Linked DNA regions of Bombyx mori. Each later gene encodes a partner of the first gene's protein in a complex. Links are inferred from orthologs where the notes say so. Each region holds a gene or a part of one and is shown in the gene's direction. Other genes may lie near its edges. The genes, in order: DNA replication licensing factor Mcm3 and DNA replication complex GINS protein PSF1.

Evidence for each region.
Region 2: DNA replication licensing factor Mcm3 (region 1) and DNA replication complex GINS protein PSF1 share a complex: the UniProt entries of both Homo sapiens proteins name them as parts of the CMG helicase complex. The link is inferred for Bombyx mori from reciprocal best matches to the Homo sapiens genes MCM3 and GINS1.

Annotation. Positions count from the first base shown.
Region 1 is NC_085112.1:2,202,930-2,207,445, forward strand, and holds the start of DNA replication licensing factor Mcm3, read left to right. Parts: upstream 1-1,519; 5' UTR 1,520-1,841; coding exon 1,842-1,913; intron 1,914-2,252; coding exon 2,253-2,530; intron 2,531-3,084; coding exon 3,085-3,259; intron 3,260-3,919; coding exon 3,920-4,158; intron 4,159-4,516. UniProt on the Homo sapiens protein: Acts as a component of the MCM2-7 complex (MCM complex) which is the replicative helicase essential for 'once per cell cycle' DNA replication initiation and elongation in eukaryotic cells.
Region 2 is NC_085118.1:17,160,859-17,165,100, reverse strand, and holds DNA replication complex GINS protein PSF1, read left to right. Parts: upstream 1-1,611; 5' UTR 1,612-1,741; coding exon 1,742-1,813; intron 1,814-2,075; coding exon 2,076-2,140; intron 2,141-2,979; coding exon 2,980-3,430; 3' UTR 3,431-3,546; downstream 3,547-4,242. UniProt on the Homo sapiens protein: Required for correct functioning of the GINS complex, a complex that plays an essential role in the initiation of DNA replication, and progression of DNA replication forks.

The DNA of each region.
Region 1 (4,516 bases):
ACAGAAACCGGACTGAATTATCTGTTGAGAATAAGATACTTGTGAGGCAAGGACGCATCGTTATACCTACAGCACTCCGAAAAGCCATTCTTACATACCTTCATCGAGGACATCCTGGCATTTCTGCTATGAAAGCACTTTCACGTTACTATGTTTGGTGGCCTAACCTTGACGAAGACATAGAATTATTTGTCAAGAAATGTACCAGATGCCAACAGAACCGCCCTTGTAATCCTGAACTTCCTGTATTTTCCTGGTCCATACCAGAAGAAGTATGGGAGAGAATCCATATCGACTTTGCTGGACCGTTCGAAGGATCGTATTGGTTGGTATTGTGCGACGCTCTCTCCAAATGGGTGGAAATACGACCGATGAAACACATCAACACCAGATCACTTTGTCTTACATTAGATAACATATTTTGTACATTTGGCTTACCAAAAATGATTATATCCGATAATGGACCTCAATTTACATCTTATGAATTTAAAGAATATTGCACAAAACAATCTATTTTACATGTCACATCATCTCCATATCATCCTCGGACAAATGGGCTGGCACAACGTTTAGTCAGAACATTCAAAAATAGAATGGCATCGGTAGACAACACAAATCTCGAGCGCCGACTATTAGAATTTTTGTTTACATACAGAAACACTCCGCACTCGTCCACTGGTAAATCTCCAGCTGAGATGATGTTTGGACGACAATTGAACTGCATACTTTCCAACATTCGGCCAGACAAAAGAAGATTAATGCAGTATTTACAAGTAAAAGAAAACATTCGTACCACATCACCGAGTTACCGACCAAGTGACCAAGTATATATTAAAACACGCAATGATAAAATATGGGAACCAGCGGTAATTACATCCCGAAAACATAAATATTCATATATTGTTTCAACACCAGGAGGACTAGAAAAACGAAGACACGCTGATCACATCAGGCCACGCGAGTCCTCCACCTCAGAAACCCCGAGGAATGAAAGGGCGCATTCTTCTATGCTGCCGGCGACTGCTTCTCCAGACATTGGAATGGAAACAACAATTAACGAAAGGCTAACTAAAAACAAGAATTCAGCAGCAGTACCATTACCTACACCGCAGTCACCTACAAATGTACAAATTTCTCCAAATTCACCTTCACAGCATTCGAAGTTATACTCCTCACCTGCTCCGGTCTCCACTCCTGTGCCATTTGCTGCGCGTCGAAGTAATCGACGTATACAGGCACCCCGCCGTCTGATCAACGAGATGTAGATGGGGAGGAATGTTGTAACCTTCTTTTCCATATTCCATTATTTGAAATATACTTCGAACACATTGTCATTTTTACCATCTATCATTATTATATTTTTATGCTATGTCTTGAAAACATTGTTTTATTATATCGACTTTTATACCTTTTCGATACTTGGAATTTTATATCGATCGATATATATTGAAGTATTAAATAAAGCTCAAAAATAACTATAATTTAAAAAATTTATATCGATATATCGATGTATCGATATTTTTTCAACAAGCCTAGTTCGCATTGGCTATTTGCGAGAAATCGCGCCAACTGCTGAAATTTTTTAGATTTAACTTTTTGTGATAGTTATAATTTAGATAAGATTTTATTTGTGTAATTGTTAAAGTTTTCTATTAAAGTTTGAAATAAACCATAATATTCTAACGCTATTCATAGCAGTGATCGTGAGAAATATTGGACTCTACAACTCTCATCTCAATCAAAATAAATTCAACAATACGCAACGACTTTTTGATTTTGGTTAACTTTAAGTGTTAAAACAACTGAAACAAAATATAACAATTTTTAAAGCTAAGTTCAATATGGAGGAAGGTGATTTCGATCAACGTTTGAGAGACTTACAAAGGGAGTACCTCGAATTTCTTGACGATGGTGTGAGTTAATTATTTTTTGATATTAGGTATTGAAGTAAATGAAAGCTTTAAATTTTTTTCTGGTTACAATAAGTTTTAATATCTGAAATAAAATAATGAAGTATTTCAACCTCCTGTCCCATTAAAAATGGAGGCACTCATCTTTATAGATATGATTTTAAATAATCATAAGTGAAGTGCTTTGAAATTATAGAAGAAACTGATTTATTCTATTTTTTTCCGTTTCTTGTTTTATATTTTTTGTGGATTTCAATATTGCTAAGTTATCATAATCAATTTACGACACGTTGACAGCTTCTCTGTAATTTGTTAATATATAAATTAATTTTAAATGTCCAGGAAGATCAAGAAATTTATATGGAAAAAGTGAAACAGATGATAGAAGATAAATCAAAGCGCCTCTTAGTCAGCATCAATGACTTAAGGCGTAAAAGTCCTGAACGTGCCAAGAATTTACTAGAGAATGCCTTTGAAGAACAGATAGCATTCCAAAAGGCTTTAAAAGAATATGTGTCTTCGATAGACCCTACATATGCTAAAATTCAAGAGGAGTTTTTTGTGGCATTCTCAGGAAGTTTTGGTAACAAACATGTTACACCCCGAAGTTTGACATCTAGGTGGGTTATTACTTATAAACATGCTTATTAAAGTTCTACTGCTGAATTATGTCATTTTAATTTTAAGATGTGCTATAATTAACGAGCTTGTAAGGTTAAAACTAAGTTTGTTTTATGATATGTGATGGGTTCACCTAAAATTTATTTTTGTTTGTTTTCTGTGTGCAAAATTAATCTGTTTGAATATATATAAAAGTACTAGATTCAATGAAAAAAATATTTCATAATTATATAGTTTTAAGATTCAGTGCATACTATACATGTGGAGATGGAACAAGAAATTTACTGCTGAATACTACTGAAAATTTACAATCTTCCATAAATATTTGAGCTGTAAGCGTTTTTTTTATGATCATATACAAAAACAGAGGTCTAAAGTAGCTGAATAAGCTCAAACGTACAAAATGAGTCTAGATTTATTTACAAAAAATTGCATAAAAGAAAGATTCAGGATAAGTTACAATGTATTGTGCTTTAGATATTAGTCAGATTAGAATTGATTGAGAATATTATTTGTTTTTCTCACACTTATCTAATTGTTGTAATATTTCCAGGTACCTCGGAAATCTAATCTGTGTGGAAGGCATAGTGACTAGAGTATCATTGGTTCGTCCTAAGGTGGTCAGAAGTGTACATTATTGTCCAGTTACCAAAAAAGTGATGGAAAGGAAATATACCGATCTAACTTCATTTGAAGCATTTCCCACCTCTGCTGTATACCCTACTAAGGTCCATAGTTTAGTCATTAATTAAAATTAGAATAGAATAACAAGAAATTGTTAGTGAAATATAAAGATCTCATTAGACTACCTTCTAAAAAAACCTTCTACTCTGTGCTGAAGTAGTAGACTACTTCAGCACAATGTGGTATTTTCTCTGTATTTTGCCAGTTGTCGTAGACAGCTACTACACATTTGTTATTTATTTTGCTACTTCGACTACTTATTTTCACGACACATTATGATCAGAATCTGTGAACTAAACTTATTTTAAATGTTTTCAAAATAGGTAAAGATAAGCATAATTTTAACTGATTCTTTTGCTATATTGGATGACATAATAAGTTACTAATTTTAAAGTTATCTTACGATTTATAGATACATTAGCACTTCTATAATTGTAGTCAAAAAAATTTAACTTTTTATATCTTAAATGGGTGGACAAACTCACAGCCCACCTGGATTTAACCTGGAGCCCATAGACATCAACAAAATATCATCACCTACCTTGAGCCATGAGCTCTAAATCTCAGTTTAATAGTAGAATAGCTGTGTGGTCCGGTCCACCTTTCAAACTGTGTCATAGTAAAAATAGACAGGTTGGTGATATTTTGCCATTTGTGTCTGAAGTTTATGAGTAACATTTATAGTGTAACTCGTATGTTCATAGGATGATGAAGGCAATCCTCTAGAAACTGAATATGGACTTTCGCGGTACAAAGATCATCAGACCCTTACCGTTCAAGAGATGCCCGAACGGGCACCAGCTGGGCAACTGCCAAGAAGTGTAGATATTATATGTGATGATGATCTAGTAGACAAATGTAAACCAGGAGACCGGGTGCAGATTGTAGGGAACTATAGATGCCTGCCCAATAAGCAGGGAAGCTTTACTGCTGGAACATTCAGGTATGAAGAGAAGTTACCTTTTGATATACATTTTTTTTATTGCCTTTGTAGGCAGACGAGCATACGGCCCACCTGATGGTGAGTGGTTACCGTCGCCCATGGACTTCAGCAATGCCAGGGGCAGAGCCAAGCCGCTACCTTCCGCTATGAAATATACATTTGAAAAGGATCATTATAAGAATTTAATTAGGTTTTGTTTCTTTTGAATTGTCATCAATATGTGTCTGGTGCTGTACATTTTAAAGGACCACTCCAGTATATAGTGCTCAAAGTCCTTTACACACAAAGGTACCGACAGTGTGGGTATTCAAGAAAGTATTTGTTCTTCTTTTAATAAAAAGGATTGCTATTGACACTG
Region 2 (4,242 bases), on another chromosome or scaffold:
CACGTAAAACTCTCGTCCATAAGTAAACTTTATAGACAGCTGTGGACCCAATAGAAAGAACTTAAAATTTCCATTTGGTGTTTATTCTTTCATTTTACAATTATCGACTCTTCGGATCAACAAAACTAGAAGTTGTAATTGTTTGGTATTGTGGCCACAAAAAGCAGACGAACATACGTTACTCATTGAACAATTCCATTGCGTATTATGTGGGAGGGGGAGGGGGGGGGGGGGTTAGGGCGGGGGATATTATCTTGTTGAACACCCAGTAAAACGAAGTCACTTTTTGATTCCTGATTTAATCAACAATATGATAACTTAATTCACTTTAACATTTATCCAACCTTAACCAGTACGTAAAACAGTCACTTAATCACACAATGTAACAAGGATATAGTAAGTGCACCGAGCAAACGCAGTCGGCCGGGGCACCTGGCTTATCTATGAGTCACTCCTGTTGCACGTGCTGTTTTACGAGTGGAGTGACACGGCCGGCGCACCTGGCTTGTGTATGACTCACTCCTATTGCACGTGCTGTATAACAGAAGTAACGTTAACGCCGTCATAGATATGTTACTGCTTATTATTTCTGTGTGTTAACACAACGTAACGACATTGGGAATGTCGTTGGTGTAGAGAGCGTAGAGGATCGGTGACAGGATACCTCCTTGGGGAACCCCAGCTGTGGCTGGGCGCATCCACGATTTAGCGCTCTTGACCGCGACAAAAAGAGTTCTGCCCTCCAGGTACGACCCCAGTAGTCGCACGTAGGCGTGCTGGAAGTCCGTGTTCTGCACCAACTTGCAGATAAGCCCCGCACGCCAGACACGGTTGAAGGCCTTCTCGAAATCGAGAAATACTGCCGCCATGTACTGGCGTGCGTTGGACCGTCAAAAGGTGCATAACGCAGACCAATTGCAGCGTTGTTGAGTGACTGCTACGTATCCAGAATTGCTCGGGTCTGAGAAGGATGTGCGGAGACACTCTTCTCACCAGCAGCCGCTCGAACAACTTGCCCACATACGACAACAGGGTAATCGGACGATAATTGGAGGGCTGTCTTCTGTCCTTCTAAATTCCCGGGAAATATCCTGTAGACAGAATGTAATTAAACAGCCGTGTCTTAAAAGACACGACTGATTCTAGAAAGTGGAAAAATGCAAGGGTGAGAATACCGTCCTCACACAATGCCTTGCGCCTCTTTATCCGCTTGATAAGGAGGCGCAATTCAGCGGGAATGATGAAATCATCATGTCCCAGAGGTGGCACCGGGAGGTTAGTTTGCACGTCGAACACTTTGTTGAGTTCGACGAGTACGGTTATCAGGGTCCCTAAGTCTGCTCCTAATGTTAAAGTTGAAAGCGTCTTTGCAAGAGTAATTGGATCTGATGGTCGACCCGATAAGGAGAGTGAGATTATTATTGGCTGTATTGCTACTAAGTGATTATCTGTAAAAAGTTACTTGTATGACTTAGCTCCCACTTCTAGAAAATTTTAATATCTTAAGATTAGGTTTTGGTATTATAGATTTAAAGATCAAGGCTTCTGTGATTTTCGAACTCATCCAAAAATGATGCGTATCCGATCATAAAATGTCAAATTTACTATCTGTCACAGTCTTGAGCTGTCACTCATCAAATTAATAACAACTTTCGCGCCAATGCCAAAAATGTTTTTATCTAAATTATTAAAGTATTTTGTTTGTTATCTCTCTCATTGTTAAGTAAATAAGTAACACACAATGTTCGCAGAAAAAGTTATAGAACTAATTAAAGAAGTAGATAGAAATCCTGACACAATAGATCAATATAATGTAAGTTGGATGTGCCCATCTAGGTATGGGATTGGAATTAGAATAAACTTGTTATATCTAATGAAAGCTTTAAGTTACTATTTAATACCGAAACCAAGATTTTATCCGGTTGTCATCTATTCTGTTTGTCTATGCATATGCACTATAAAGTCAGAAATCCATTTAGAAGTGACAAGTATATTAAATTATTGTTATAGCACCGCCTATTATTATTTTTGTGTCTTTTAATCTTATAAAGTACATAGTATTTCACATGTTACAGGATGAAAAAATACGCCAAATAATAGAAGAAATGCATTTATTATTTAAATTGAACATGAATGATGCGTAAGTCACTGGTTTTCTACTAATATAACTGCAAGTAGTTATTGTTCAATATGCAAGATTTGCTATGATCACTTCTATTCTGTAACCTCCTATTCTGTTTCATGTGATGCAAAAGTGCTCAGGTAACCTTGTAACTCCAGGAAGGTCTATTTTTGTTTTTTTTTGTCAATCTATTGCTACTAACCTCGAGGGGTTATGCTAGCTTCATGGGATTTGAGGTAGCCCTGAGATCTCTCACCCAATTATGCAAAAAAAAGTTTTATGACTTTTTTGTTTTATAACTCTTCACATTCAAGCAGTTTGGATAACTTGCCCAGCAGATTTGATAGCTTTACTGGTTGTGCTTGAGTAGCACAGATATCTCACCCAGCAGATTTGTTACAGCACTACGGTTATGTATCTGCTTAAAAATACTTTAGTGGACAGGCTTGGCTTCAATTTCTAACCAAATCTTAGCTCAGCTTATTGAGTTTTTTTACAGTGTAGTTGTTTTTTAATAATAGTACTAATTATTGTTTTTGGTATATAAAAAAAATAGAGAAATGTGTGTTTGTTTGTTGATCTTAAAGTACTTTTAAAATGTTTCTCTAATTTGGCCAAAATCGGTCTGAGTTGCTGGTCCGCACAAACGAAAACGTCATTTAGTGCAAAGGGGTTAATATTTTCATGCACTTGAGTCTCATGTGGTGTTGTAATAAGGTTACCTGCTATTAGTCCATTTTAATTTAAATTTCAAAAATATGTAGTTCAATTGCTCATCAAGTTCATTTATAGAAGAAGAAGATAACAACAAACTGTTTTATGATTACCGCTTGTATTAATTGAATTACTATTTTTAGTAATGCTACAACAGAAAACAGATCATTGTGGACCACAGTTCAAGTAAGACATTCTGCCCTTGAACGCAATAAAAGGTGTATATTAGCCTATCTCTACAACAGAATGAAAAAAATTAAGACATTACGTTGGGAATTTGGTGCAGTACTACCTCCAGATATCAGAGAATTGCTTTCTGATGATGAATATCAATGGTTTTCAAAATACTCTGGAAATCTTGCTTTGTATATGAGATCTTTAGGCCAAGATATAGGATACAGTGGCATAGACTTGACTGAAAATTTAAAGCCCCCTAAATCATTGTTCATCGAAGTGCTTTGTGTTGTGGATTATGGTAAATTAGAACTTGAAGATGGTGATGTGGTTATGCTTAAGAAGAATAGCAGACATTATCTTCCTACTTCGGAATGTCAGACTTTAATACGACAGGGTATTCTGAAACAAATAATGTGAATTTATTTTATCAATAGTGAATTTTTGACCATTTTATGTTTTAAATAATATTGTGAAAAATAATGTTTGATGTCTGTATGGAAATAAATTTTATGAGAAGATTATTTTTACCATAAGCTTAGTGATTTGACTTGATTAGATTTGCACCTCCTAATAAAGCAAGTGTGTGTCCATTTTTTTTACTATCCCTGATGGGTGAAAGAGCAGTCATAGTGGCCTAAAGAATATAATGCTTGCTGTAGTCAAATCAAATGATGCAACAATCAATATCATCATCAGCCCCGAGGTCTCCTAATATCAGACTTCAGACTTAGAACTTTTGTTTAGGTGTGTGGCAGCATTTGCGTTTTTGATATTTACGTGCCCTGTTAATGAGCTGGCATTGAAAAAAACTATTTTCTCAAAAAAGATACAGCGCAGTTTTTTTTTTTTTTTTTTCCTACCTATGATGGTAGCCTTGAGGGCTCAAACCTGATGACGTTGCTAACACGAACCCTAGCAAGAGCCGTGCTTCGCAGAATCTACCACCGGATCGGAAACGCGACCCACTGAGAAGATACGGCGAGAAACTCAGTGGGCTGTGTCTGGGAGTTAATTTACTCGTCGAGCCCTTCGACGGGTTCGACGAGAACGGTGACCGGTGCTTGAAGTACCTAAAAGCACCGTTAGTGGATCGGGACGATCCGAGATGACGTGTTTTGGGCGACGTCGACTGCTTTCCATTCTGTCCGCAGGATCGGGAATGTAGTTACTGGCGGCCACGATGAGAGGGTTCTCGTGTCGTGCCGCTTTATCGAAGTGGCGCATCGACG